Saccharomyces cerevisiae S288C: one gene and its partner. The protein of the gene in region 1 interacts with the protein of each later gene in a biochemical or structural test. Each region holds a gene or a part of one and is shown on either strand. Other genes may lie near its edges.

The links. Proteins that work in one complex are often made in the same cells at the same time.
Region 2: the proteins of HRR25 (region 1) and SIT4 form a complex in vitro, tested with the Saccharomyces cerevisiae proteins (2 studies listed by BioGRID).

Annotation. Positions count from the first base shown.
Region 1 is NC_001148.4:162,339-166,260, reverse strand, and holds HRR25 (serine/threonine protein kinase HRR25), read right to left. Parts: upstream 1,986-3,922; coding exon 501-1,985; downstream 1-500. Other genes in the region: cAMP-dependent protein kinase catalytic subunit TPK2, read right to left, coding at 1-5; PGC1 (phosphatidylglycerol phospholipase), read left to right, coding at 2,664-3,629; TYW1 (putative tRNA 4-demethylwyosine synthase), read right to left, coding at 3,920-3,922. UniProt on the Saccharomyces cerevisiae protein: Protein kinase which phosphorylates serine and threonine residues. Can use casein as a substrate. Phosphorylates elongator complex member ELP1/IKI3 on 'Ser-1198' and 'Ser-1202' which promotes the tRNA modification function of the complex.
Region 2 is NC_001136.10:367,745-371,206, forward strand, and holds SIT4 (type 2A-related serine/threonine-protein phosphatase SIT4), read left to right. Parts: upstream 1-2,026; coding exon 2,027-2,962; downstream 2,963-3,462. Other genes in the region: STP4 (Stp4p), read right to left, coding at 1-467. UniProt on the Saccharomyces cerevisiae protein: Involved in the dephosphorylation of the large subunit of RNA polymerase II. Is required in late G1 for normal G1 cyclin expression, bud initiation and expression of certain genes that are periodically expressed during late G1.

The sequences.
Region 1 (3,922 bases):
TCCATACCGACAATTTTCAACAGTATGTGAGTTAACCTGAGTGAAGCTGCTGTTTGTGCCGGCTGTATATTTGCACAAACTTCCTTGGTATTCCGTCGTTATCGTCTCGTGATTGTTTCCTAATCAGACACTATAAGGCAAGTTAATTATCGAAAATACGAATTGATGCTGTCTTCTCAGAGGCCCTCCTTTAAAACCGTCCAATATTCGTGATTGATCTTCGATCGTTAGCCCTTTATTACATAAAAAAAAAACAAATTGGCCAAGAGGTGCTCCGCTCCCCCTTAATTTCCTTCCCGAAGAAAAAAATGCATAAAAAAAGTGGTTCTTTTAGCTATCATCTTTTTAGGTAAGAAGGCCAGAATTGTATATATTAACTCGATATGGAATTGTGTGTACGTATATGTAAATAATAATAATAATATATATATATATATGTGTGTGTGTATGTCTATATATACATATGTTTATTTTTGTGCGTTTTGAGCAATATATGTTGCTTACAACCAAATTGACTGGCCAGCTGGTTTATCTTGAGGCGGCTGTTGTGGATTAGATCTCATTTGTGGAGGTACAGATGCTTGATTAGTATTAAAATTATTGCTGTTTATTTGTGGGGGATACTGAGTAGCCCTGGTTGTAGCCATCGGAACTTGCTGCTGTTGCTCCTGAGAATCTCTTTGTTGCTGCTGTAGTAACGGTTCAGGATAATAATTTGGTCTTTGGCCATTTGGTTGCTGCTGTAGCTGTTGGGGCTGTGGTTGTGGCTGCGAACTTTGGACCTGCTGCTGCGGCTGCTGTTGTCTCAAGTTTTCCATACCTTTATCTAGTGCGTTCAATAATTCCTCTGGTAAAGAAGAGGCTGCATTATTATTCAAGATAGTTTGTTGTTTGATCTCTTCTGGTGAAGGATTATGTTTGTCTTCATTCTTGTAATAGTGGAAATGGGTGGGGAATTTCTTCATGGCTAACAGTTTAATCTTGTTGAAAGTTTCAGACTTGTTGTCTGTGCTGTTACTTGCACTTGCTGCATTGCTATTTGCGTTCAAATCACCTTTTTCGATGAGGAGGTCCCTTTGCTTCTCCACCATCGCCTTTGTGTAACGCAACATTGTCCAATCGAACAAGTGGTCGTTGTGATACTCTAGTTTAATACTCAGATCTTTAAACAGCCTTGCCAAGAACAAATAATCTGGCTTCTCATCGAATTTCAAATTCTTACAGTAAGCCATATATTCTTGAAACTCTAATGGTAAACCTGAACATAGAGTTTCCACGCTAACGTTTAATTTCTTTTCCATGATACGATCATACTTTTGTTTCTTGGTGGTTGCTTTCAAACCCTGCCATGGCAAAGAACCCTTACAAAAATAGATCAAGACATAACCTAGTGATTCTAAGTCATCTCTTCTACTTTGCTCTATTCCAAGATGCGTATTGACACTTGCATAACGAGCTGTACCTGTCAAGGACTTGTTCTCCCTGTAAGGAATATGACGATGTGTGTTGAAATCTCGGTATTTCTTTGATAGACCGAAATCAATAACATGAACGGTGCTACCACGGCGTCCTACCCCCATTAAAAAGTTGTCTGGTTTGATATCTCTATGAATGAACGACCTTCCATGTATATACTGAATACGGCAAAACATTTGCAAAGCCAGCATGATAACCGTCTTAAAGGAGAACCTTCTGTGACAGTAGTTGAATAAATCTTCCAAAGATGGGCCTAGAAGATCGATGACCATAGCATTATATTCACCCTCTCTGCCAAACCATCTGATGAACGGGATTCCCACACCACCGCTTAAGTATCTGTAGACGCGGGACTCATAGTCCAATTGAGGATGTCTGGACCTGATCGATTCCAGCTTGATGGCTACTTCTTCACCACTAATTAAGTTCGTGCCGTGGTAAATGTCACCAAAGGAACCACTCCCAATCTTCCTGCCAATACGAAATTTCCTTCCTACTCTTAAGTCCATCTCTTTTTAATGTATCCTTTCTATAAATATATCTTTTCTTTTTGGTTTTTTTTTTTGGTCGAATATGTCGTAACTTTTCGACTTTTTTTATCCTTGAAGTCTGGAAATATTTTTCTAAGTACCCAACAGAGGTTTAAAGATGCTACTAAGATGTGTTTTCACCACCAAATGCTTTCCTCGAGTGTCGAACCTTTCTTCTCTTTGTATTTCAACCACGTTCCATATATGTGGTCGTGTTTCAACTTTTTTTCTTCGTCTCCTTTTCCTCGTTGCACCAAAAATTCTCCAGAAAAAAAGAAATTCAAACGTGGGCTGCCTATTAGTAGTAAATACACAGACGGGAAGAAGCGTTGAAACAAAGCGAGAGTTGCAGTAACTCTTCACAGTGGTATATGATTGCCACGAAATAATCGTCGATCCAGTGGTAGTTATTCGTATATAGGAGCCTTTTATAGCAATTAGATGGTATCCATTTTGTGGTACTGTTGCGGGTAATCTGCATCACGTGACTATAACCTCTTTTAATTATATCTCTTTATACGCATGCCGTATCGAGGACAATACCGAATTGGTTTAGATCTTTTAGTATACAATTAAGGGAGATATAAAATTGGTGTTGTTGATGTTACTAGTGTTATTGATAAATAAGAAGTGTAAGATAACAACAAGGACACGAGGATGGTTGAAATTGTGGGCCACAGAGCTTTTAAAGCAAGATATCCTGAAAATACGCTACTAGCATTTGAGAAGGCTTATGCAGCAGGTGCTGATGTAATAGAAACGGATTTACAAATGACCAGCGATGGTATGGTGGTGGTAAACCATGACTCAGACACTGGTCGGATGTGGGATAAGAACTTGGTGATTGGCGAGTCGACTTGGGAGGAGGTTAAGCGATTGCGCTGCAAAGAGGATGGTTCCTTAGCAATGATGACATTGAAGGAAATTCTAACATGGGCAGTGTGCCATCCAGGAGCTAAATTGATGTTGGACATCAAATTTACCAACGAGAAAATCATCATGATCAAGACCTTTGTTATCATGTTAGAGGTTAAGAATGATCTTAAATTTTGGCAGGAGAGGATCACGTGGGGGCTTTGGTTGCTGGATTGGTACGATTTCGGTATTGAAACTGGTGTTCTGAAGGATTTCAAAGTTATTGTGATAAGTCTGTCTTTAGATATCGCCTCGCAATTTGTGAAGCGCTCTTTGACACTGAATGATCCTCACTATAAACTTTTTGGTATCAGCGTCCATTTTGTCTCCTCGTGGACAAGCCAATTTAGATTGAGATTACTACCTGTGCTTATGAAGAATGATATCAAGGTCTATTTATGGACTGTCAACAAACCTATAGATTTCAAATATCTGTGCGAATTGCCTATCCATGGTGCTATCACGGATGATCCGATCAAGGCAAGAAAGTTATGCGATGGTCATACCGTGGCGAAGAAGCCTACTGCTGAAAAAAAGTTTGTTGCGCCCAGTCTGGCATCTGTAGATGGGCTAAGATTCCATGCTTTTATCAAAGTTTATAACATCCTTTGCACGCTTCTATATTCCAAATGGGTCCATATTAAGTTGTGCGGTTGGTCTATTGCTTATGTGATTTTTTTGTTCCTTCGAACCATTCATTTTCTTTGATATCCATTCATTGACGTGAATATTATTCTGAACACTTTCTCTTTTACTTCTATATATATTTATGTTCGTATCAAAATCATGATATTATAAAACAAAATTTTCGAACCCTTTCTCTCCGCGAGATTTGAATAGTGATATTTTGGACTAAATCATAAAAAAAGAAAGAAACGATAATGTTAATAGCCATTCATACTAATTGAACACTTGAATTGTTCTGCTCTTTATTTCGAATAAATATATATATATATATATATATACGTGATATTACTCTTAATATATACCAGTATCTTTTA
Region 2 (3,462 bases), on another chromosome or scaffold:
AAGGAATTTGATCTGCCGTTAAATTCTCTTTCTGCAACTGTAATTAAATTGGTGAAGGAGGATATGGGTGGCAAAATGACATGGCTTGAGCTGTTGGATGACAGCGGTGTTGGAGAAAGGCTATGAGGGAAATAGCATTTGGAATTATGTGCCAAGGCTGTATTGTCTGTAGGCGAACTCGTGATAGACTGGCATGCAGAGGAGTTATAAGAAGAGTATGATGTAGTTAATGGGGGAGGTGGAGGAGAATTCAGTGTAGAACTGAGGGTAGAGCGCGAAGACGACGTAGTACTGGACAACAATGGCAGTGATGGATCTATCAAATGGTGAATGGTGCCATTGGGAGAAGCCGTTGGGTTTGGCATTTTTTCTGGAGTATCTATAAAGGGAGGGTTTCTCCGTAAAGACATCGTCTCATGGGACATTACTGAGTCAATGCTTGATGCAAAAGATGATGATACCAGCATAGGGGAAGCCAAAGAAAAGAAGTAACAAATATTCCAAGCGCTCCAGTGTTACAGCTACTGCAAACCAAGAAAAGCAACTGACAAGAATTAGATATCCTAATCATAGGGCACCGAATTTACTTCCATGTTTTTTCCAGCTCCACTTAGAATATATATATAAATGTATAAAGACGGAAATATGCGCTTTTGAGAAATAGACAGAATAAAGAACGCACTGATGCAGCTTTAACTTTTAAGAAATGGTGCTTTTTTTTTCGCCCTCTGTTCCTCTGCGGATGGGAGCTATCAGTAGTAGAAAACAAAAGGAAACGAAGAAAAAAAATTGGAAAAGGGAAGAGTAAAACAGCGAGGAGAGCATTACGTACATAAAATAGGTTTAAGTAACCATACCACTAACAATGCCCCTAGGAAGTGACAATCTAGAGATATCCTTGAGAGTTAGCCACGGGCCGTAAGGGAAGGAAAAGACCAATCTAGCAATAAGCGCATGGGGGGTTTCCGACAGCCACTACCAAATTGTGTGGCAGCCAAGCGAGAATCAATGCGGCTATTTGAGATCTGTTCTTTTTCTATTCAAAGACTCGAATGAGGCCAACGAAAGAAGTAGTAAAAAAAATCCGGGATTCCCAATTCAGGTCATATCCGGCAAGACATTCCCGGATTTTATTTTCCTCAATGTGCTCGTGTAAGTGTCGGCCCGGAACTTGATTCCCCCCGGACTAATTAGAAGTTCCGAGAACGCGCGCAAGCCGTCCCGCGCGTAGAAGGCTAAAAAGCAGCCGGAGGAAAAAAAATAACGCAAATGTGGGCTCCCCTTCCCCTGTGCGGCCACGTCGTGCCTCCCCACCATTTGCCTCATATGCGGCCATTGCGTGTGGTGTTTTTTCTGCTCTTGTCACTGATTTTAACTACCGCGGGGTTTGACTAACAAGCAAATTGCAAAGCCGCGGCGGTTCCCGGAAAAAAAAAAAGGAAGGCCACGCTATTGGTAACCATGAAGTGTAAGGCGACGCAGGAGAGATGAAAAGAATGAAATTAAAAGAAATCCAAAAAAAAAAAAAAAAAAAAAAAAGAAAAAGAAAGAAAAAGGGGGAATAACACAGCCGCGGGTAACATGAAGCGGCGCGAGCGATACTTCCGTGTTAAGTGATATCCATCTTTCTGCGGGTAATAAGTCTAGTCAAGTCCGCTGTATTTTTTCTTTCGCTCTCGCTCTCTTTCTCTCTTCGCTCATGGAGCGGTAAAAAAAAAACATGCATATCGAGTCGAAGCCCAGCAAAATTAAAAAAAATATAGCCTTCAGTGGAAACCCAGTGATGCTCGCACACAACGTAATGGAGCATTGAAGAGCTACAGACGGTAGATAAAAAAGAAAAAGAAGCAATACAATAGGTTATTGCATACTATCATAAGCATACAGATAAAGGAGTTCTGCACATACGGTCCCTCTTTCTCTTCCTATTATTCTTCAGTCCCCTCCTCGCTCTTTTTAGATTCGACATTACAAGGTGAAATACTATTGAAGCTCAAAAACATCCATAATAAAAGGAACAATAACAATGGTATCTAGAGGCCCCGACGAATGGCTTGAAACAATAAAGAAATGCCAGGCGCTAACTGAAAACGAGATGAAACAACTGTGTGAAATGGTGAAAGAACTTTTGATGGAGGAAAGTAACATCCAGCCGGTACAGACCCCCGTTACTGTATGTGGAGACATACACGGCCAATTTCATGACTTGTTAGAGCTATTCCGTACGGCGGGTGGCTTTCCTGACGATATAAACTACATTTTTCTCGGTGATTACGTGGATCGTGGCTACTATAGTCTGGAAACTTTTACGCTTTTAATGTGTCTGAAAGTCAAGTACCCGGCAAAGATAACTTTGGTCAGAGGAAACCATGAGTCCAGACAAATTACTCAAGTTTACGGGTTCTACGAGGAATGCCTGAATAAGTACGGATCTACCACCGTATGGAAGTATTGCTGTCAAGTTTTTGATTTCCTGACGCTGGCCGCTATAATTGACGGTAAGATCTTATGTGTCCATGGAGGGTTATCTCCCGAGATTAGAATGCTCGATCAAATCAGAGTCTTGTCAAGAGCTCAAGAAGTGCCACACGAGGGTGGGTTCTCGGACCTGCTTTGGTCAGACCCTGACAATGTAGAGGCTTGGCAAGTTTCCCCTCGTGGTGCAGGATGGCTCTTTGGCAGTAAAGTTGCTAGAGAGTTTAACCACGTTAATGGACTGAACCTTATTGCCCGGGCTCACCAACTGGTTATGGAGGGGTTCAAGTACCATTTTCCTGAAAAGGACGTTGTAACCGTGTGGTCCGCGCCAAATTACTGTTATAGATGTGGTAATGTCGCGAGTGTAATGAAGGTCGATGAGGATCTGGAACCTACTTTCAAAATTTTCTCGGCTGTTCCCGATGACTACATAAGAGAATCCACGGCAAACCATAATAATCAAAGAGCCGGCTATTTCTTATAACACGACGGCATGCCCTCCCTAACTCGACGAATAAAAATAATTTTCACAATAAAAAAAAGACTACAAAAATCAGAAACTTTTTCATTACGCCATTTGCTACGATACGATACACAACAAGCACATTCTAAGAGCATTCCATTTACTATGGTCAAAATGACCAAATAAAAAATTAAAAAAAAAAAGAAGGAATGAGAACTAGTAACTACATATTCAACAATTGCAGTTTTCTTTTCCTTTTTGTCCTTGTCCTTTCTTTCCTATTTATATATATATATATATATATATATAATACTACTATGTTATATTACATTATATTATTATCACAATAATTATTACGTTCATCGTGCCGAAACGTCACCTCCCACGGTTTGGATCTATTGAAAGAGGGTGGAATCCCTGATAATAAAAAAACTTTAATCAACACTCGGGAGGGGAAATATAAAAGACTGGCGCTACTTAAAGAGCTGATTCGCCAAGGCAGAAAAGCATAACCATATTAA